3 linked regions of the Elephas maximus indicus genome follow. The protein of the gene in region 3 interacts with the protein of the main gene of each other region in a pairwise test. Links are inferred from orthologs where the notes say so. Each region holds a gene or a part of one and is shown on either strand. Other genes may lie near its edges.

The links.
Region 1: the proteins of IGF1R (region 3) and KCNIP3 interact in binary tests that used the Homo sapiens proteins (3 or more experiments, as listed by UniProt). The two-hybrid records come from large-scale screens. The link is inferred for Elephas maximus indicus from reciprocal best matches to the Homo sapiens genes IGF1R and KCNIP3.
Region 2: the proteins of IGF1R (region 3) and YWHAB interact in a two-hybrid assay, tested with the Homo sapiens proteins (2 studies listed by IntAct). The link is inferred for Elephas maximus indicus from reciprocal best matches to the Homo sapiens genes IGF1R and YWHAB.

Annotation. Positions count from the first base shown.
Region 1 is NC_064835.1:89,148,851-89,155,810, reverse strand, and holds the start of KCNIP3 (calsenilin), read left to right. Parts: upstream 1-3,922; 5' UTR 3,923-4,027; coding exon 4,028-4,042; intron 4,043-6,960. UniProt on the Homo sapiens protein: Calcium-dependent transcriptional repressor that binds to the DRE element of genes including PDYN and FOS. Affinity for DNA is reduced upon binding to calcium and enhanced by binding to magnesium. Seems to be involved in nociception.
Region 2 is NC_064843.1:24,489,475-24,497,246, forward strand, and holds the start of YWHAB (14-3-3 protein beta/alpha), read right to left. Parts: upstream 3,031-7,772; 5' UTR 2,872-3,030; intron 1-2,871. UniProt on the Homo sapiens protein: Adapter protein implicated in the regulation of a large spectrum of both general and specialized signaling pathways. Binds to a large number of partners, usually by recognition of a phosphoserine or phosphothreonine motif.
Region 3 is NC_064831.1:90,260,729-90,268,692, forward strand, and holds the start of IGF1R (insulin-like growth factor 1 receptor), read right to left. Parts: upstream 3,100-7,964; 5' UTR 2,930-3,099; intron 1,789-2,929; exon of another isoform or gene 1,107-1,788; intron 992-1,106; 5' UTR 685-991; coding exon 591-684; intron 1-590. UniProt on the Homo sapiens protein: Receptor tyrosine kinase which mediates actions of insulin-like growth factor 1 (IGF1). Binds IGF1 with high affinity and IGF2 and insulin (INS) with a lower affinity. The activated IGF1R is involved in cell growth and survival control.

The sequences.
Region 1 (6,960 bases), on a different chromosome or scaffold from region 3:
AGGAGAAGGCTGATGTCAAAAGACTTGCTTTCCACAGCCCACGTGACAGCCTTTTGTGAGAGAGTTGGCGTGGAGTCTCTCAGGCTATTTCTAGGAGGCCTCCTGGAGAGTGGACAGACCTCAACGGAAAGAAGGCTGAGGTGCCGTGGTGTCAGGGCTTCTTGGCTCCCTGAGGCCCATGTGAAATGCCCTGGTCAGGGAGATGGCAAGGAGGTTTCCGGTAATGGCCAGGCTCTGAGGACCCTTGAAGGTGACCACAAGAAGAAGTAGCTTGAAACCTCTATCAACCCCAAAGAGCAGTTCTAGAAACAGTTTCAGCTGGAGGCTGACCATAGCCCCTGACCCCATCCCACCAGGTCCATGCTGGGCTGGGAGGAGCTTTGACTTCAGAGCAAGGGAGTTGACAATGCCATGGACCTGGACATGGGATGAGACTGTTGTGGGATGTGAAGTGACCGTTTGTGCTTCCCTACCAGGAAGCATCCTGGGCCTGCCATGTTTCCGTCCAGCCGAGTGAAGGCCAGCTCGTGAGAGGTAGTCTTAAAGGGCCAGTGGAATAGAGAAACTTGGTTGCTTCCCAGTTCCACAGCTGTGCTGGGTCAGCAGCGGGTGACACTTTCCGAGTTCTGTGGCGTCCAGCAGAGGGCTTCTTCGGGGCAACAGGAGTTTCTTGTGCTCATGTGAAAAGAGGGCTTGACAAGAGTGGTGAGACCCATCTCCACTCCATGGAGGCTTCCTCACAGGCGAGCGGTCCAAACTCTGAGATTGTTTAATAGCTCTCTCTCTTGTGGGCCTCAGCCAGGTGTGGGCAGGGCCAGGACCCAACCAAAGAAAGGGCCTGGGGGTGCGTGAGAGTAAGGGTCACTAAAAAAAAAAAAAAAAAAAAACACCAAAAAACGTAAAGCAGTTGCCAGCAAGTTGATTCCAGCTCATGGAGATCCCACGTGTGTCAGAGTAGAGCTGCGCTGCATAGGGTTTTCGCTTGCTGATTTTTGGAAGTGGATCACGAGGACTTTCTTCCCAGGTGCCTCTGGGTGGACTCAGATCTCCAACCTTTTGGTTAACAGCCAAGCTCATTAACTGTGCCACCCAGGGACTCCTAGCCAGCTGCAATGGCTTGCCACTGCCCCCTCTCAACATGCCTCGTACTGGACGTTGTAACATAAGGAAACTCACTCCGCACCCAGGCTTGAAACGATCCCTTCCTTCCCCCGCTGCCCTGTGGGAGGAAAACCACAGCTGAAACCCCTCAGACTGAAACATCTGCGGCTGACAAGTGAGGCCCTCCTGTAGCCTTTCTGAACCTTTTTTTGGGTCTGATACTCTGCCAAAAACTCTTTGGAAAATGTAAGGTTCTCCTGAGAAGATTTGCCGACAGACATGTGCCCACACCACATCCGCTGAACAGGCCTGCATTCCTCCCGAGGGAGGCAGCTGAGGAGCCAGCTGGAAGTGCCTGGGTTCCAGACAAACCCTGAAGGCAGTGAGGAAGCAAGAGGCATGGATGGAGCAGGGGGTGGTGGACAAGGGACACAGCAGAGCGCACACTCCCCAAATCTGTGTGTTAGGAGGAGCAACCCCTGGGTGGCAGCTGTACTGGCAGGTTCCCTGCTGAGCCTGGGAAGGGGGGCCATTGTCCTCAGCCCATTTTGTCCCAGCTTGTTAGCTCCAAAGAAGGAATCTCTTAACAGTGGAATTTCAGAGAGCGAGCCAAGTGGCAGGGTGCATGGTTTTCCACACAGGGTGGTGCTGGTTTGGGGGCGGTCTTCTCTAGTCCACTCTCTTCAGACCATCGCCACGAGTAAGGGCAGGCCTGCCCTGGAAACTGTGATAGGTAAGTTTTCTTTATTGTTTGTTGTTGTTAGGGGCCGTAGATTTGGTTCCTACTCACGGTGACCCTGCGTATAACAGAACAAAACACTGCCTGGTCCTGCGCCACCCTCACAATCGTTGCTATGTCCGAGCCCATTATTGCAGCCACTGTGTCAGTCCATCTCACGGAGGGCTTCCCTCACTTTTGCTGACCCTCTGCTTTACCAAGCTTGGTGTCTTTACCAAGCATGTTTCTTTATTACCTGTGTGTTTTCAAGCTGGGTATATGAAACCTGGGTATGGAACTGGCTGGGGGAGATCTTACCCACAGTTCTCACTTTGGAATGAAAGGAGCAGGCTTTAAGTCCTGCCTTTGTCACTTTGAAGCCTATGACCCCAGGAAAATCCTTTAACTTTTCTGGATCTCACTGTCATTGTCTACAGAGTGAGATATTAGACAACTTCGTCCCTGGGCCACCTCGAGGAAGACCAGGTGGGGCAGTGCCACCCCACCGCCCCCCCCAGCTGACCCCTTCTCTCCACGGCCAACAGCTCCGGGGAGCTTGGCCTCTGGTGGTAAAGCCTGCAGGAGGGGCTTTCCAGGATGCAGCTGGGCTGGGGTTCACGGTCCCCGGAGCCCCTGCTGTCCTGGATGTGCAGGGGGGACAAATGCCTGGGCTGCCTGCCTGCCTCCTCCTCTGCTGTGGTGGGTCCATAACTCCAGGCTATTTCCCCCCCGAGGGTCTGAAAGTTGGAGCTAACTGGCTGGGGAAACAGAGAGAGAGAGATGGGCGTGTGTGCACGTGTGCTCCTGTTGTACACAGTATGGGGGAAGGGTGTCACAGGGCTCTGTTTCCATGGGAACCGGTGGCACAAGCTGGCTCCCCTGGGCACTGCAAAGGGAAACTTGGTGGAGGGTGCGGAAGGTGTGGAGGGTGCAGGGCACCTGACTTCTAGGTGGTTTCCCAGGGGCTGAGCAAATGCCCAACAAGAACTGCCTGTCTGGGATGCAAGAAGGAGCCCTTCTCCCCAGGATGCCTAGGGCCCTGCAGCCTTCCTCTACCACCCCTGCAGGAGATGGGGTGGCTCCTCACTGTACCACGTGCCATCTGGCGACCTTCCTCTACTGCCCCTGCAGGAGATGGGGTGTTCCCTCAGCTGTGCCACATGCCATCTGCAGACCTGAGACCCAGGTGTGGACCAACTCGAGTCCTCAGGAGACCTGAGAGCCACTTGTGTGATACTGCCCCTGGCAGCCACCACCTTCTCTGGGCTGTGAGCCCACATCTGTGAGGCCAATGGGGAGTCATGCACCCACAGAAAGGTCCCATGGGGAGGATGTTGCAGAAGCCAAGGGTGGCCAGAGGATGACCAGTCTGCCAGGAGGCAGGAGGGGCACAGGGGAGACCCTGTCCTCATACCTGAGCCGGGTCTTTCTCTGTGGCCTCAGCTTCCCATCTGGACCTCAACAGCTCCCAGCTGCCCTTAGGGACCCTGAGACTGAGGTGGTCAGAGGGTTGCTCCACACCGCCGCCCCCGTCTATGAGGAGGTGCTCATAAGTCAGGGGGAGGGGTAGGGAGTAGAGGAGGGTATAGCGTGTTCTGCAAAATACCTCCAGGAGGCTCTCCAGGCTGGACTGCCGCCCATGCTCCCACCCCACATTGGGCAGGAACATGTGCCCTGGAGCCCCCTACAACCTCTCTCTCCCATAGGCGGTAACCAAGAGGAGAAAGGGGAGGAGCAGAACATATGTGTGTGTGGGTGTGGGGGCGTTAGAGAAAGAAAAAGACAGGGAGAGGCACAGGGAGAGACAGCCAGTGACAGGACTGGAGGGAGGCCAGGAAAGCCAGATGGGCTAAGAGGTCAGGACCAGGAGCCGTATCCACAGAGAGCAATTGGGACATGGATTCTGGGAGGGGGGCAGAAGATGGGGGGGTAAATATGTGTGTGTGCATGAGAGAGAGCGAGAAAAAGAGAGAGGGAGAGAGAAGGAGAGAGAGAGAGGGAAGGGGGAGGCAGAGCAGGGGGGTGGAGGGGTGGAGCAGTTAGAAGCAGGAAGGGAAGGAGGGAGGGGTGGGCAGGGGGCGGATGAGAAGCTGCCAGTGACAATCACGTCTGGTCCAGCAAACATGAAGCAGCTGCCAGCCGGCAGTCCCGTTCTCCTTGGCTGGCTTCGAGGGGGGAGGCCGGCAACAGTTCCCTTCAGCGTCCAGGATGCAGCGGGCCAAGGTAGGCACTGGCGGGGTTCACCTGAGTGGGGAATAGGGGTTTCTTGAGGCTGCCCTGGACCCAGGTAGCCTTGTTATGCCTCCTTCTTGGACCCCACCCCCTGCTGTACCTGTAGAGTTGCTTTGGGGACAGGGAATGTTGGGTGTCCTGGCTGGAGGTGAACTCCGGGGCCTCCTTGGGATGGGAGAGACTTTAGGTGTTTAGGAGAAGAAGCTGGGCAGAGGAGGCATGTGGGGCCCGCCCCGTGGCTGGTCCTGCTCAGCTATGTCCCTGAGGCAGGTGACAGGGCAGCTGACCTGGAGCTTGGGCCCTGCAGCCTTTAGAGTTGAGGGGGTCGTGAGTGCTGGGAGGGGGTGTCTTATGCATCATTTAATGAACCATTCAGGTAATTAATGAATGCTCATTTTCCAAAAGGGCTGGGAGAAACTAACATGCTAATGGTCCTTTCTCTGGGGCTACTGGGAGCTTGGAGACACGCTGCAAAGAAAGCACCTGGCATAGAGTGAGGTTCAAGAAGTAACGGTGGGGGTGGGAAAGGATATAGAGAAGAATTGATTGAGGAAGAACAAAGGAGAGGAAAATCAGCTGAAGCCCCGCAGAGGGTTCGATCTGTCCCGAAGGCCTGCTAGCTTCCGCATGCTTGGGACAGTCTTGCTTTGGAAGCAAGAAGAGGGCTCCAGGACTAGGTCCGGTTGCTCAAGCAGAACCCCCCAATAATGGTGCTTAAACAAGGGTGCCTGCATTTCTCCCCCAGCAGAAGTCGGAGGGAGGCAGGCAGGCAAGAGGGAGCTGGCATGGAGGCTCTGCGAGGCTGCAGGGCTCCGTCTGTCTCTTGGCTCTACGATCCCGGTGCTGGCTCCCATCCTTGAGGCTGCGGTAAGCTCCAGCATCGCTGCCGGAGCCCCAGCCGGCAGTGCAGGCGCCGAGGAGGAGAAAGAAGGAAGGGCAAAGGGGCCCGACCCGTCTCAGATCAAACCACAGTCTTGTGAGTAAGGAAGGGTCCCCGGGAGGTACAAATGGCTAAACTCTAAACTGCTAACCAAAAGGCTGGCAGTTCGAACCCACCAGAGGTGCTACAGAGGAAGTCCCGGCAATCTGCTTCTGAAAGATCACAGCCACTAAAAACCTATGGAGTGGTTCTCTTCTGCACACGTGAGATAGAGCTGACGGTAACTGGCTCGGGTTTGCTTCTAATTTGTTTGTTTGTTTTGTGAGTAGGAAGAATGGTCACTGGGCTGGCATCTTGCAGTCTCTGTCCCTGAGAAACCCAGGAGGGAGGACAAGCAGTCTGGAGCAGGCTTGTAGCTGCATTCAGGCTACCCAAAGAATCTGCCCCAGACCCCAGGCCACCTCTTCCCTGCCTGGTCCATCTCCCCAGTGCTGGGAGGACTGACAGAGGTGATGGGCTTGAAAGTCCTTTGCATACAGTGGTGGGGTTATCTCTCCTCTTATGGTAGGTCCCTTCAGCAGCTGCCAGGGGATAGGCAGGGCAGAGCCTGAGAGAAGCTTCACCCCACCTAGTATACTCAGGTCCTCGCCACACACATGCCCCACCCAGCACAGGCCACATGCACTCACGGCTCTGAATGTCCTGTGAGTGTGTACCGAATAGCCACAGAAGCACGCCCTCACACACGCCCTGCCACCGTGCCCACAGTCTGACCTGTGCCACACAAACATGCATGTGCACGGAGGGGGTGTTCATACAAACGTGCACACAGCCAGCTCTCTGTCCACCACACGGAACGACCGTGCTCCTCCCCTTGCTGGCTCTGACTGCCAAGAGGTCACTTCAGAGGTTGGCCATCCCTGCCCCTGCTAAATGAGCAGAGTGAGGGGCTCAAGTCCTGCAGGTACAGCTGGCCACTGCGACCACGTGCATCCACTCTCCCCCACCACCAGCACTAAGTGCCCCCCGGGCCCTAGTGGGTCTAGCTGGGCCTTATCCTGCCATTTGCCTTCCAGTGGCTGCCTGATCAGAGGTGGGAGCGGGTCCCGTATCTCCTGGTGCTGGGCCAGGCAGGGACAGTGGCCCTAGTGGGAAGTCACTGCAGGGTCCCTCACCAGGTCAGCTGGGGAGTGTGAAACAACTTCCTCTCTCATGGCAGCAGGGGTTGCACTCAGAACAGAGGCTGGCGATCACACAGAGAGCTGCCTGTCACTCAGGACATCCCCATGGGTGTAGTGGTCAGGGGCTGTCCCCAATAACACCTCACAGTGTTGAGCCCCTCGGCCTTCTCCACACACTTCCCTGTCGGTCACAAACATGACAACGTCCCTGGAAGGCAGGCAGTGCCTCTGTCCATTCTGGAGACCCTGAGGCCCAGAGAGGGGGAGCTGCTTTCCAGCACAGCACCGGGACCCCCTCAAGTCAGCCCCCCAACTCTGGAGCCTGCAGGGCCCCTTGGTTCTCTGCCTGTCATATGGCTGCTCTGTGGTGTGCTAGGCCGTGGGCTGAACAGCTGACAGACACACCTGTTCCAGGGAAACCTCAGTCAGCTGGGAACAGGCACTGAAGGGGGAAGGGGGGCTGCCGGGGAAGGGGGGCTGCCGGGGAAGGGGGGCTGACCTCTGAGCCCAAGGCCAAGAGAAAGAGGCAGTGAACTCTGTGAGGCCCTAGAAGGGAGGAACAACCAGAACCGCAGGTTCCACACTAGAGGTCAGGGGCTATTGTCTTCACCGCGCAGCAAATCCACTGGAAACTGCTTCCTGCCCAGCGGCCAGCCTTCTTGTGGGAGAGGGACCTTAATTGGCTCCTTTATTTGCAAAGATGGTAACTGGGGCCCAAGGTTGGGGTGGGAGAGGGAAGTGGCCCTGCCTCTGGTCTCCAGGTGGAGTCTGGGGGACGGGCAGGCCCTCCATGGATTCTGAGACACCCCAGGTTCTGGGCCGGGGCTTCATTTGCATTTTCTCCCTGG
Region 2 (7,772 bases), on a different chromosome or scaffold from region 3:
GCCCACCTTTCAGTTAGCAGCTGAGCACTTAACCACTGTGCCACCAGCGCTCCCTAGGGTGGAGATATTTCCTCCCAATAAATTATATATTCAAAAATAGTTAAAATTCCTGTTCAAACACATCTATTTTAGTAGAATACATGCAGAGAAAAACTAAGGACTAAACGGTGTTCACAAGAAGAAAATGCATGTGTTGTTCTACCACACTTAGAAATCTATCATTCCCTGGAGCCAGACTGCCTTGGTTTGATTCCTGGCTCCAGCACTTACCATCTGTGTAACCTTGGGAAAATTATTTACCTTCTCTGTGCCTGCGTTTCCTCTTCTGTAAAATGAGGCTAACAGAGTTATCTATTGTTGGGTGTTATAAGGACTGAGTTTATATGTGTAAAGTGCTTACAGCAAAGCTTGTCACATTGTAAGTGATAAGCGGTAGCTATGCCTGATGCTACCTCATCGGTTGATAAATAAATCCCAAATAGATGGAATGCATACATACATCTACCTACATACATGTTTCTGTGTGTTTGTGTTCATGAATACATGATCGAATAACATCAAACACTTACTACTATGTGCCAGATACTTATTTTAATTATTGGATTCGCCGCAACAACCCAGCTAAGACTACATTACCATTCCCGTTGTACAGATGAGAACATGGGCTCGGAAAGACCAGAAATGGTATATACAAAATAAAGTTCTACAATAATATTTTTTGAAAGCAACATGTGTACAAGAGGGTTCGGTTTCATCAGGTTACAACTGAAGAAAAAAGCCATTAGCAGTGAACACTGTGGTTAAAAAACAAAACCAAAAGCTTATATTTAACAATTTACAGGTTGTAAAAATGCCTCATGGCAACTCTGCAGATAGGGAAACTAAGAACCAGAGATTTAAGTAATAAGCTGAAGTTCACACAGCTAGAAAATGCTGCAGGCAAGACCTGAATCAGATTTCTCTGACTCCAGGTTCACTGCTCTTTTCGCTTCTGTATCCACACAGCCAAATGGGCAAAACGCACTTTTTGCAGTTCCAAATCTCCGGAGACACAGCCTAGGGAACTAGCATCATGGGAATTTGCCCAGCCTGTTTTATGGAGCCTGCCTAGCTGATCTATAGAGCTCCAATTCTAAAATGGCTTCAACTTAACACAGGCACTGCATGATGGGAAATGTACAGAAGATTATAGGGTAGGAGCCATACTCCTGGGACTGACAGTCCATAAATATTTGCTACCGATGAATGAGGATATTCAATCTAAAAACTAGGTGTGTGGCCTAGGCCAAATCGCCTCATTTTTCATAAAGACTGCATCTGTAAGATGAGTGAATGGTTTCTTATCTCACTGAAACGAAAGATTAGGAAAATAATTCAGCAGCTGCCACTGGATCATCAGCCTTCCGTTTTGAAAGCCACACTTAAATTCTCACTTGTGTCCAGTAAAACCGATAGGTTTTCCCCTCACCACAACATGGGCTGCTAAGGGCATGAATTCTAGAAAAATGAGGGGCTCAGACCACTGATATCCATCCCCAAAAAAGAAATGGGTGTACTAGAAGCAGTCAAGAAAAAATTCATTAAGGACTAATATTTATAAATTTCCAAAAGGAAAACGCAAAAAGCTAAGTAGCCGCATACATATCCAATTCTATAAACAGCGTTATGTTCTATACACTGCATCCGAACATTTGAGACAGAGAGAGAAGTCCAGACGATTTTCATATTCTTACAAGCCCTTCACCTTTCTGCTTTGGCTTCTGTGGCTGTCTGATTTTCTATGATCATGACATCGTCTTGCCAAATTCCATCTCCCACACAGGCCAAGTAAAATCAGAGCTTGATGCTACCTAGCCTTAACAAAGAGAAATGCAGTGAGGGCAAGCACAAGAGACATGATTTTTATCGAAAGGTTGGCAAATTGTCTTACCAATACTGCCACCTTTGAAAGCCCCGTTACGTGCGAGTTCTCCATTTGCAATAGACAAGGGTGTATTTATTTTCTGAAAAAAAGGGGCACAAATCATGTCCACTCCTTCCTCACCACCAGGGAGGCCACCAAGCAAATTTCAGACCAAAAAACATGCTCTCATACAGTATGGGGGAATTTCGGGGGAGGACACAAAATACCTGAGCATTAAATGAAGGTAAATGCTGTGGGAAAATGCTTGGATTCCCAGCCTTTGATAATTTTTTTTTTCCCCCTGGGGATTCCACCTAACTCAGTAACCGGTTCCAACAAATGCATTTTCTTAACTCAAAACCTCAGCCCAGTGCTTCCCGGGTTAATCTCGGGTCCTCCCAGGCTCCATAACCAATGAACGACGATGAAATGGCTTTACTGCAAAGTGGGAGGGGGTTTTCCCCCCCGCTGTCTCCCAAGGTTAAACCCCTTACTCATCCAAAGAGAGTGATGCACGGGCCCCGGGGCTCGAGAACTCGCCCGTATTTGGTTATATCTCAATTTTTGGAAACCGGAAAACAGGGAGGAGGAGGTGATAGAGCTGAAAGGGGCCGCTCTCGCCGCCTGCGGCGAAGGGAGGGGTCGCGCGGGGATCGGAGCTGGAGAGGGAGGGCCCCGGGTCCACGGTCGGCGGTCTTGGCCGGCTCAGCATGGAACCGCACCCCGCCGCCAGGGCAGGGCAGGGCCGCAGGAGGCGAGGGAGGCCCGCGCCGCTCGAGGAGGCAAAGGGCCCGGCCCCGGAAGCAGGGAGGGGCCGCGGTGAGAACAGGCCCGCACCGCAGGCGGCCGCGCGGGACCTAGAAGGCCGCTCGGCTCTCGCCGGAGCCCACCCGCGCGGCCGCCGGAGCCGAAAAGGAGCCTCAGGCTTGGGTTCCCAGGGGCTTTGGGCGGACCCGGCGCGCACTCACCGTAGGAGGACTGCAGGCAGCAAAGACACTTCCCAGCGAAGCTCAGAGCGCGATGACCGCTTCCTTCCCAACCCCAATTCTCAGGCGGCGACGGCAGCGGCGGCGGCAGCTACCCCGGCTCCGGAATCGGCGGCGGGTGGCGGCAGCTCCACTTCCGCTCCGGTCGCCACTTCCGCTCCGGCCCAAGCCCCTCCCCGCCCCTGCGCCGTCTCGTCATTGGGCGAGCGGGGCACGGGGTTGCACCGGCCTCGCGGGAGGGGCACTGGCTGGAGGCTGGAGGAAGGGGAGCGGGATGCAGCTGGGCGGGGAAGTGCGGTGGGCCTAGGGTGGGAGCGCGGAGGAAGAAGGGGAAGGGGACGGAAATGGGGGGAAGCGAGGGGCGCGGGAAGAAGAAGCGGGAGGGAGGGTAGAGGGCGGAGCTGAGAGCGAGGGTCGGAGAAAGGGATCTGTGGGAACAAGGACAGGGAGACGGGACTGGGTTTAGGTGGAATGGGGGCATCAGGGTTATTCTCTCTACCTAGGCTGGGAATTCGCCTGGACCAGCCCAGAGACTCCAGTCATCGGTTCCCACTCCACCCCAAAGTAATCCTCACGAGGTCGGAGGCTGAGGCCCATCCCTTTTTCCTGTGTGCTTTGAAAAGGCAGGACCAAGTGAAGAACAGAAATTGCTCATCCCCTAAATTGTCACTTAATCCTCCCTTCACCCTATCAAGGTGCTTAATTCCCCCTTTCATAAACGGAAGAGGCCACGTAAAGCGCCAGGTTTCGATGGCGAAGGTCGCAGTGCGTGCGATCGCTTCACTGAGATATCCCTCCCCAAGGCTCGGGGAGGAAGCTTAAGAGAAGGAAACGGGCCTCCCAAGGCTCGCAACTCCCTTGACAGCTCTCACGCAACATTCTCTTCCTCCGAGGCAGGTGACCCTTAAACCCAGTTCTTCAAAACTCCTCTTGCCTGCGTTCCCTCCCGCTTGTTCATTTTTTTCAACAAATATTTATCAAGCACCTACCATATTGCCAGGTATTGTGCTTAGCGCTGGGGACGTGGCAGTGAATAAGACACACGGGAGTTTACAGTCGGGTAGGAGAAGGTAAAAAGTAAGTAGGCCTCCAAAGTCTCTCCTTTAAAAAAAAAAAAAATTAACCAGTTCCCCATGTGTATCAGAATAGTACTGTCCTCCATGTCCTTTACCCTTTTTTTTATAGTGATAACCACCTAATTCATTACCCAGCCATGCACTCATCAACTGCCAGAGTGATATTTTTAAAATGCTGTTCTAATGCGTGCTTTCCTTGCTTAAATCTTTTGGTGACTGCTCAGACCTAGAAGACAATATGTAAGCTCCTTTAGTGTGACAATCAACCTTCTCCAGAAGCTGCCTTACTTTCAGCCTTTACCTCCTATTTCTCCACGTCTGAAACACCCCAGTTTTATCGGATGACCTCTTATCCTTCCAGTATGCCATGTCCAGTATTTCTAAACAGTTTGAATTAGTTGCCAATGTTTTTTACAAACAGATTTCACTTGGAAATTGGCATTTCTTCCTTGTTGGACAGCTCTGGGTCCACATTTCTGTGTGGCAATAATTGGCTGAAGCCGAAGAGTGCCCTTGCTATATTACGTATGGGTTTTCCAAGGGGTCCCCTCCCCACCTGAGCCTGCTTTCCTCATTTATGTTGCCTGTTTTGTAGGAATTTGTGTCAGTGACCCCTGTACTACCCACATTCTACACTGTTGTATGGTGTACACAGAGTAGGTTTAACTTCAAAACCTCTAAATTTGAACCGTAGTGAGGTTTCCTAGTGGAAAAACCTCTCTGGGGATCAGTCTTTGGCAGCCAAACACCAGTAATCCCGAGGCTGCTCAGATTGAAGTGTTAATGTCACATGACTGTACCTCATGCCCCCATCCAGAAAACAGCCTAGTGGGCCAGAGGACTCAAGCTGATTACTCCCACAAATGACGTCATCAGTGCCTTGAGGGAAGAGAAGTGTCCTTTGCCGGGCATCCCTGGGTGCCTGCAGATGTTACATGGATTAGCTCTTTTCACCAGCTCTGCATTCTAGGCCCAAAAAGGCCAGGTGTGGGCAAACAACAGCCCATGGGCTAAATTCTACCTGTTGTGTGCCCATCGAGTTGATTCCGACTCATAGCGACCCTATAGGACAGAGTAGAACTGCCCCATAGGATTTCCTGGGCTGAAATCTTTACAGGAACAGATCAAAATAACAAATTTCCAAGGCTCTTCTCTCCGTGGAGCAGCCGGTGGATTCAAACCACCAGCCTTTCGACTAGCAGCTGAGAGCCAAACGATTATGCCACCAAAAAAAAGCTCCCTTAAATTCTACCTAGCGCCTGTTTTTGTAAATAAGGTTTTATTACAACACGGCCTTCTCATTTGTTTACGTATTGTTGATGGCGGTTTTGGTGTTACAGAGGCAGAGTTGTTGCAACAGAGACAGTATGGCACATAAAGTCTTTTTACTATTTGGCCTTTTATGGAAAAAGTTTACTGTGTTTTCGGTGAAGGTATTCATTTCCTAGGGCCCATGTAACAAAGCACCATAGATTGGATGACTTATAAGAACAGAAATTTATTGTCTCGCAATTCTGGAGGCTAGCAGTCCAAGTTCAGGGTGTCGGCAGGGCCATGCTCTCCGAAGGCTCTAGAGGAAGACCCTTTCTGGTCTTGCTCAGCTTCTGGAAGTCCCAGGAGTTCCTTGGCTTGAAGCTGTAGCATAGTGCCATTGTCACATGGTTGTCTTCCTCTTGTCTATGTTTCTTCTCTTTATGTGTTGTATAAAGAGGACACCACTCAGATTGCATTAGAGCCCCCCTACTCCAGTATCGAGGGTACTGGGTGTTTGTTTTTGGGTACTCCAGTATGACCTCATGTTAATTTAACTGATAACACCTTCAAAAATCCTGTTTCCAAACAAGGTCACATTCATAGGTAACTGGGGTTAGGACTTCAACATATCTTTTTTGGGGACACAATCCAATCCAAAACAGACATTATTATGTCTGAATATGAAGCTCGGAAATGCTGCTGCCTCCTTGTTAGCAGCCTGATGATGATGCAGAACAGAGCGGTAGAATCTGCGTACTGGATAACAGTGATAAACTTCTGAATTGACCAACCCTTTTTTAAAGACTACGGTCTTTCTAGACTTGCTCGTACGTGAAATAACAAATTTCCTTAAAGTTTAAGTCACCTTGTGGCAGATTTTTTTTTTTTAATTTAAAGTTGAAAGTGTATTATCTGATAGGGACACAAAAGAGATATTAAAATATAATGTGGTAAATGAAAATCATGGAAATATATATGTGCGTGGTCTTATAGAAGCCTGGGTAAAGTTTGGGGATATATTAGAAGATCAGGAAAGATTTGCTAAAAGAGGTGATACATGAGCCTTAAATTCCACAAAGATTTTTTATTGAGTCCAAGGCAGTATTAAAAAAGAAAAGTGGCAACATTTTGCATAAAGGAAAAAGGTTTTACAACAGTTAGTAGGTACCCAGCTCACCACCATTTTGCATCCCCACCAATGATAGATAAGGATTCCAATTTCCCCAGATCCTCACCAACGTTTGTTGTTTCCTGTTTTTTTTTTCTTTTATCTTGTCCATCCTAGTGGGAGTGAAATGGTATCTCATTGTGATTTTGATTTGCATATCTCTGACGGCTAATGATGCTGAGCATCTTTTCATGTGATTGATGGCCACTTGAATGTCCTCTCTGGAGAATGTCTATTCAAGTCCTTTGCCCATTCTGTGGTTGGGTTATTTGTCTTTCTGTTGTTAAATTGGTGAAGTTTTATATATATTTTGGTTGTTGTTAGGTTCTTGTTGAATATATGGTTTCTTAAGATACTCTCTCAGTTGGTAGCTTGTCTCATAAGAATAAACTTGAGACAGCTAGTGTATTTCCTTTCTTTTTCCTTCCTTCTTTTCTTCTTTTCTTCTTCCTTCCCTCCTTCCTTTCTTTTTCTTTTTATTATGATAAATTTCAAATAAACACAAAACTAGAGGGTACAGTAGAAAGTACAGTAAACCACCAGGTATATCCATAATCCAGCTTTATTTTACTATTCTATCAATTTCTCACATTTTTGCGGGGGAGGGGGCAGGAATATTTTACAGCAAATCCCAAACATATCATTGCATTCATAAATATCTTAGTATGTAGCTCTAAAAGATCAGTTTTTTTAAAAAAAACATAAGCATAATTCCATTATTACACTTAAGGAAATTATTAATAATTCCTTACTTTTTTTTCCTGATTGTCTCAGAAATACCTTTTTTATGTTGGTTTATTCGAATCAGGATTTAAACTAGGCCTTCATGTTGCATTTGGTTGCTAAATCTCTTTTAATCTGTAGTAGTTTCCCCTCCTCCTCCTTTTCTTATATAATTTATTTGTTGAAGAAACTGTGTAAATTATTTTACAGAGTTTCTCATAGCCTAGATGTGTTTTTTTTTTTTTTAGATGTGGCTGATTGGACCCTAGTGGTGTTTTTAGAATGTTACACTATCTCTTATATGTCTTGTAGACTGGTACTTAGATCTAGAGGCTTGAGTAGATTCTGCTTCAATTTTTTTGGTACGAATATTTTATACATGGGACTGTGTATTTCCCCTGGCATCATATCAGGAGACACATACTGTCTAATTGTTCCTCAGTGATCTTTTCAGCATGAAAACCCATTTCCTTTGGTTCTGGGATGTTGTAAAATATTTCTTTGACGATTCCCTCCCTTCCTGTCCCCATTTTCTATATTTTCACTTTCTGGAACTTCAGTTATTCAGATGTTTGGCTGTCTGAACTGGTTCTTTAATTTTATTATTCTTTTTTCCTTTCTTCTGTTTTTCATCTTTTGTCTTTGGCTCTACTTTCTGTATA
Region 3 (7,964 bases):
GGGCTGCGGGGCTCCGCGCGGGGCACCTCTCCCTCCAGGGCAACTTGCACCCAGCGGGCCGGGCGGCTCCCCGCTCCTGGCCACCGGCCCCCGCGTCGGCTCCAGCAACGAGGGTGCGGTGCGGCCGCCGACGCTCTCACCGCTGCCTGCGCGCCGCGCGGGGCCAGCGCTGTGTGCGGAGCGGCCCCGCGCGCCGGGAAGGGCGAGGTGCTGGAGGCGGACCCCGAGGAGCGTGGGGCTGGCCTCGCTCTAACTTCCCCAAGGAGCCCCGCGCTTGGCCCAGCCAGCAGGCCGCCGCGGAGTGAGCGCTGCGGAGCAGCCGGGCTAGCGGGGCAGGACTCTTGGGACGGCGAACGGGAAAGCCACGAGGCTCTTCCCGAGCGGGATGCGCTGAGCCAGGGCCCGCGGGCTCCAAACTCCCAAGCTCAGCCCCGGGGCCGCTCCGGCTGGGCCCTCCGCGCCCCGCCCGGCCGCTCCCGGGCCCGGGGGCCGACAGCTGCGACGGTGGCAACTCGGGTTTCGCAAACAGGGCGCAGCCCCTCGGAGGAAAAGTTCCCGCAGTGGCCGCGGGCGGCGGGGCCCATACTCACTTTCTCCACTCGTCGGCCAGAGCGAGAGCGCCGCGGAGAGGAACAAGAGCCCCCACAGCGAGGTCGGGGACCCTTCTCCGGAGCCAGACTTCATTCCTTTGATTTGGGACGAAACTCCCCTCACTCAAAAATAAAAAGGGGGAGGGGGAAGGAAAATAAAAGTCGCCAACTCAGTCTTCGCTCCCTCCTCCGAAAACCAGGGCGAAGGAAACAAGAATCCGAAGGCGGCGCCGGCCGTGAGAGCCGCGCGGGTTGCGGTCGGCGGCGCGGGGTTCGCGCGGCCCCTTAGCGCCGGCAGCCGCGGCCCAGGGCTCGGTGGAGTCGGGAACCCGAGGCGCGCCGGGCCGGGATGTCGGCGTCGTCGGCCTCCATTTTCAAACCCAGAGGCAGAAAGGGGAAAACTGCAAAGAGAGGGGAAAGCCCAAATGAGTCTTGGCGAGGAAAAACCAACCCAACCCGAGGCAGAGCGGGAGCTGCCCGACGCCCGAGCCCCCGCGGCGGGAGGGCGCGACGCACTTCGCAATCTTCCCCCAAGTCCGGGTCGCGGAGAGGCCGGCGAGGGGCAGAAATGCAGAGCAGAAATGAATGAGACGTCCCCCTCCTCCTCCTTCTCCTCCTCCTCCTCCGCCGGGCTCGCTCGCCGCCGCCTCCTCCCTCAGCGCCACCGCCGCCGCCGCCGCCGCCGCCACAAGCTCCTTCCCAAATCCAGGACACACACAAAGCGGCGGGCCGGCCGCGAGGCGCTCAGCACTCCCGCCGCGCCGCCCGGGCCCCGCGCCGGCCCCCGCCCCTCGCCCCCGCCCTGCGCGCGGGGGGCTCCGGCTCGCTGAAGGTCAAAGCTGCGGCGCGCGGCGCGCCGTGGGCTCCCCTCGCCAAGGAGGGGCGTGGAGGGCGCGGGAGGGGGTCCGGGAGCGGGGCAAAGGGTCTGCGGGCGCCGGCCGCGGGCGCCGGGGCAGGCTCGCTGGCAGCGTCCCTCTAGCTCGCTCGCCCTCTCTCGAGTTCGCCTGGTGCGCTCGCTTCTCCTCGGGGTTTTTCCCCCTTTTTTTTTTTTTTTTTTCCGCTCAGCGGAGTTAACGCTGGTAAACAAGAGCCTCAGCCTCGCCGCGCCGCTGCCGCCGCCGCTGCCACACACTGGGGGCTCGCGCGCGCCGCCAGAGCCGTGCACACGCGCCCGCGCGCACACTGGAGCGCCCACAGCCGCAGCGCGCCGAGGGCCCGGCCCAAGCGGCACGCGCCAAGAGCCGGAGCCCGGGATCCCGGGACGTGCGGAGCGGAGCCGGGGCGTGGGGCGCCAGTTGGCAAGGCACCGCCCCCGCCCCCTCCCGCGCCGGCACACACGCGCGCGCGCACACACATACACACAAACACGCGCGCGCGCGCACACGCTCTGGCCCCCACCCGCACTGCGCCGGCTACCCCGCACGCGCCCTCCCCTCCCGCAGGATTCCAAAAACAATGCCCCCGGCGCCGGCCCCTGCCCAGCCGAGGGGGAGCCGGGCGCCGAGCCGAGCGCAGGGGAGGGGGCGCGGTGGGCGGGGCGCGCGGGGCCCGGAGAGCTTCATTGAAAACAACAACGGCGCGGCTGGAAAGCGCGTTTCCCGGTTCTTGAAAAGCTTCATTGTTTCTTGCAGCTGTTGCAAAATAAATAAATAAGTGCGTGCATGCGGCATTTTTTCGCAGTGGGCTCCAAAGCCCAACGGGGCGGGAGGGGGCACACCTGGCAGAAAGGGGACCCCGCGCTACTACGGCGGACACTTTCACGCAATGATGGGGACGGCCGCGACGTCGTGGCCGGGGAGGCCGGAGTTTCGGGGTCCGCGAGCGGCTGCGGTGCAAGGGCGCGGCCCCGGCGGCTCGGCCGGGGGCGCGAGGGGAGCGGGCCCGCCGCCCGCCGCTGACCCCGAGCCGGGCAGGGGGGCCCCGACAGGCGGCTCCGCGTGCCCAGGGCGCGTCCCGCGGCGGCCGCCAGGGGGCGCGGCGGGCACCAGGGAGGGCCGGCCGGCGCCGTGTCGCCTCCTCCCTCCCTCCGGGGGAGGAAACGCGGGGGCCCGAGCTGGGGGTCCGCCTAGGGGACGGCGGGCCGGGTCGCGCGAGCGCGGCCTCTCGGCCCGAACGCTCCCCGCGGCCTCGCGCTTCTCCGGGCTCCACCACGTGGGCGGCTGCCAGGAGCGCCCGGGGCGCGCGGCGGCTCGGGGCTGCGGGGCCCAGGGGCTGGGGGGCGTGACCGAGGGGTCCCGGGAGTGGAGCTGCCGGGCCGGGGTGCGTCTCCGGGCTCCGGTCGGGACCCAGGACCAAGCCGCACACGCCCGGCAGGATCCCTGGCCGCTGCGGACACTCACCCGCACCTGCCTCCGGTCCTCCTGGGCACGTCTCTCTTGCTCGATTTGCTACGTAAGTGACTAGGTACCAGCACCAACTCCAAGTCGCCTCCGTGGTTTTCTGGAGGAGAGGAGAGGTTTTTCCGAGGCGAGACTGCCCTACCACTGCCATCTAATGAATAACTGCTGCGGAGCCCAGGTCCTCAGAGGGGGACAGCGCAGCCCTGGCAGGAGGAAGAGTTTGAAATGCGTGGACTTTTAAAAACAGGGATTGGACCACGTGTCGCCTTTAATGTGGCCCGCTCATGACTCAGGCTAATTGGTGTCAATAATAAATAAGAAGGAGATGGCTAATAAAAGAGTTGTGAATGTCTAGATCCACTAGAAGTGTTTTGTCTCAAAAGCAATCACGGTTGGGTAAGGGGGTTTGTTCTAAAGGAAAGGTGGGTTTTTTTCTATGACTCTAATTGTAAAAGGTTTCCGCGTGACGTTATGCATCCTGTCATTCATGTTAATTTTGAAATTGTTAAGAGCTGAAAACAAACCAAAAGCTATCATAACGGAAACTTAGCCTTATTTTTCACTATATTTATTCCCTAGATCATTCTTCCTCTTGGAAATTTTTCGTTCAATTCAGCAAGTCAGTTGTATAGAAGGGAAATAAACCTTTTTTTATTTAAGAGAGTTATTCATTTGAGATTGTTTTGTTTATTTGAAATTCAACTTAATTTTTAAATAAAATATTTTAGTGTTAGGTGTTCCTGGATTTTAACAAAGAAATATAATCATAAAAAAGAAACTTAAATTTGGCATATATCAATTAAAATTATAAACTGAATAATTAGAATTTATGCTGCTAATTTCTAAATATTTCTTCAGAGATTTTCAGCTTGAGGTTGATCTTCATACCTATAAATCCACTTTGGTGTTAGATGTAAAGCAATATCAATATTATGTGCTTATTATATTTAGTGCCCAGAATTTTTAATAGATACTTGTAAATTACAACAAATTTTAGAGCCTACTTTTTAAAGGCTAATATAAAACCTTTAATTCCTACATAATATATTTTTAGTGCCTATTGAATTATTTCTAAGAACATAAGGAGGAATATAAAGAGAAATGCATGCAGTTAGCTAAATTGTAGGGTTTAGTTTTTTTTATTCAAAACAATTTTTAATTTGTGAATTTTAAAAATTATCTGTTTTCTTGAAGTAGTGGGAAATCAATAGGATTAAGGTATTTTAGAAAGTGTATTTAGCTTAGTATTTTAGTATATTTTATATAACTTAGGATTTTAGGGAAAAATCAAAATGAAGGTGGCAAAAAATTTTGGTTGAAAATGCAAACTAATTTGACCACATGAACAAAGAGGGTGATTTTTATTTCTTCAGTTATGCTCTACCTACCGAAGTCAAACTTCTTTTTTAAACCTTGGATTAAAAAATCACATAGAAAAAATTTAATTGTAATCTTTGCTTTATGACTGCATTAACAATGCATCACACTTTTTGTTTTTCACAATTTTCCCCAAATGTCTTATTGATGCCCCCACTTTTGGAACAGAAACAGGTTACTTGTTTTCATTTCTTAAAAACTCTGCTTATCTGAAATTATCTTTCTAAACATACCAGACTCTCCCAAACTGTAACACGTATCAAGTAAAAATATGAGAAACAACTAAATGACAAGTGATATATTGTGATATACTCCCAGAATGGAGTGTTACTCATCATGAAAAACTAATAGACTACAAGCTACACACAACATGGAACACAATGTTGAGTGAAATAGGCAAGTTCCAGAACATTCTAAATGGCATTTTATAAACCTCAGAAACAAACAAAACTAAAAATATATGATAAAAAAATTTTTAAGCTAGGAAATTAAATATGTGATAAATTTTTGTTTGTTTTGTTCCAGCAAGAGGGTGAATGAAGGACCCAAAATTCAGGATCGCAGCTGACTCTGGGAGGAGGAGACAGGAAAAGCCCATGGCCATAAACAATGATCTTGGAAAAGCTCTCATTCTTGGGGATAGTGAATTTATAGATTTTGTTTTAATTACTTTGCTTTATAACTAACACATATGCTATACATATTTGGAAGTATAAAATATTAAAGAAGACAAAGAAAAATAAGAGATTCATGAAAGAGATCATCCCAGTTTTCTGATGATTCTTCCAGATTCCAAGCTGTTTGTAGAAATAAGCTTGGAAGCGTTGGAGAACTACTGGAGTGATAAACACTTAATCTAGATCTTTTCCTTAAGGATACATTTGAGAAGAATGTGTATCCATATCATATCAATGCAATTTAAGACACAAACAAATAGTGGAACAAAAAATTTTAAAATAATTATTGACTTCATAGGTAATTGAGTTAATTAATTAAGAGTGCATTACATAAGAACAAACAAATCTGTCTTGGAAGAAGTACAGCCAGAATGCTCCTTGGAAGCGAGGGTAGCAAGATTTCGTCTCATGTAATTTGGACATGTTATCAGGAGGGAGGAAACCCTGGTGATGCAGTGGTTAAGTGCTACGGCTGCTAACCAAAGGGTCGGCAGTTCAAATCTGCCATGCGCTCCTTGGAAACTCTATGGGGCAGTTCTGCTTTTGTCCTATAGGGTCGCTATGAGTGGGAATCGACTTGACAGCACTGGGTTTGGTCTTTTTTTGGATCAGGAGGGACCAGTCCCTGGGGAATGACATCATGCTTGGTAAAGTAGAGGATCAGTGAAAGAAAGAAAGAGCCTCAAAGAGATGGATTGACACAATGGCTGTGACAATGGGCAAAGATTGTGAGGATGGCACGAGACCAGGCAATGTTTCATTCTGTTGTACATAGGTTCACTATGAGTTGGAACTGACTTGAGGGCACCTAATAATAACAACACGTAAACTACGTGGCAGTTTCCTATAATGTTAAACTTATGACCTAGCAGTTCAACCCCTAGGTATTTACCCAAAAGAAATGAAAACATATATCCACAAAAATATCTGTATGGGAATGTCCATAGCTGCTTTATTCATAACAGCAAAAAACTGGAAACAACCGAAATGTACATCAAAGGGAAAAAGGACAAACAAATTTCGACGTAGCCATTCAATATGATACTGTTTATCGATAAAGAGGAACAAACTAGTAACACATCCAAAAACATGTATGAGTCTCAAAAGCATGATTCTGAGTGAAAGAAATCTGACACCAAATAGTACACATTGTATTAGGCCATTTACATGAAATTCAAGAACAGGCAAAACGGACCTGTGAGCTAGAAACCAGAACCATGATTACCTCTGGCAGAGGCAGAGGGAGGTGACTAGGCACAGAGAAGAACAGAGAACGTTCTAGGATGATGGCAATGCTCTGTATCTTTTTTTATTTTTTGCAATGCTCTGTATCTTGATTAAGGAGCTCTGGTGGAGCCATGGTTAAACGCTTGGCTGCTAACTGAAAGGTTGGTGGTTCAAACCCACTCAGTGGCTCTGAGGGAGAGAAACCTGGTGTTCTACTGCTGTAGAGATTAAAAAAAAAAACCTTCGGGGCATTTCTACTCTGTCACACAGGGTTGCTCTGGGTCAGAATCCACTTAACAGCACCTAACAACAACACATCTCAATTGGTGTGTTGGCCAAACTAAAAAAAAAAAAAAAACCCTTTGCTGTAGAGTTGCTTCCAACTCCTAGTGACCCTATAGGACAGAGTAGAACTGCCCCATGGGGTCTCCAAGGAGCGCCTGGTAGATTCGAACTGCTGATCTCTTGGTTAGCAGCCATAGCTCTTAGGCGCTACGCCACCAGGGTTTCCGTTGGCTATATTTGTGTATGTATTTATCAAAAACACAGAACTATACCCTTGAAATGGGCACATATCATATCTCAAAAAAATAAAAATTGAAGAGTGCATTATGTAACTTAGAAATGTTGCAGCTGTTCGAATAAACTGTAACGTAATTCTTCTCATTTTTTCTTACGTGAGTGTATGTAGTAGAGATGCTCTCCTCCAACCTTCCCATCCGCAGCTGTGTCTTTAGAAGGATGGACTTTTCAGAGGTGTATCTGCCTCAGGTGCCCTGCAAGAGGCTTTAGCTGTGCAAGGTGCCAAAGAAGAGGTTTCCACGAGTGCAGTCCAGGAGCAGACAAGACACGAGTGATGCACGAGTTGGCTCCAGTCCAACATAGCCACAAACAATGTGAGTCTCTATCTCCTTGAGATCTGTGTACACTCAGCTTGACAAGAAACTAGCTCTGCAGAGATAGACAGCTCACAGGGCCAAAATGCTGACATTCCTCCCGGATACTTCAGAAGCAATGTGGAGGTTTCTGAGAGCATTTGGGCAGAAATAGCCAGATTGATGTCTTTTGTGACTACTTTCAGCACCGTGTTCAGCAAAACATCAATAAGGGAAGTCCTTGGAAAACCCAGGCCTTATCCCGGAGTAACAAGCATGCTTGGGACCTCTATAGACTCAAGGTGCAGACTGGAAGCTTCCCATCTCTGCACCAATGCTCTGGGCATGGGCCTCCACAGACGGGCATGAGCCTGTGCCAATGCTTTAAGGGTGGGCATGGTGGACTCCCCCACATGGTCATTAAGTACTGTTAGGAGTGCTGGCATTTGATTTGTTGGTATTGATTAAGAATATGACTGTACTATTAAGTGCCAGAAGAACAAACAAATCAGTCTTAGAAGAAATACAACAAGAATGCTCCTTAAAAGTGAGGATGTCAGGACTTCACCTTGCTTACTTTGGACTCATCATCGGGAGGCACCAATCGCTGGGGAAGAACACCATGGTTGGTGAAGTAGAGGGTCAGCAAAAGAGAGGAAGAGCCTAAAGGAAATGGATTGACACAGTGGTTGCAACAATAGGCTGAAACATAGTGACGATTATGAGGATGGCACACAAGCAGGCAACATTTTCTTCTGTTATACGTAAGGTTGCTATGAGCTGGAGCTGATTTGATGGCAAATGACAACAGGGAACGCTGTAATAGTGCCTCTGTCTGTGTCACTTGTCATTCCTGGTGGTCCGTCTCTGAGATGGGTG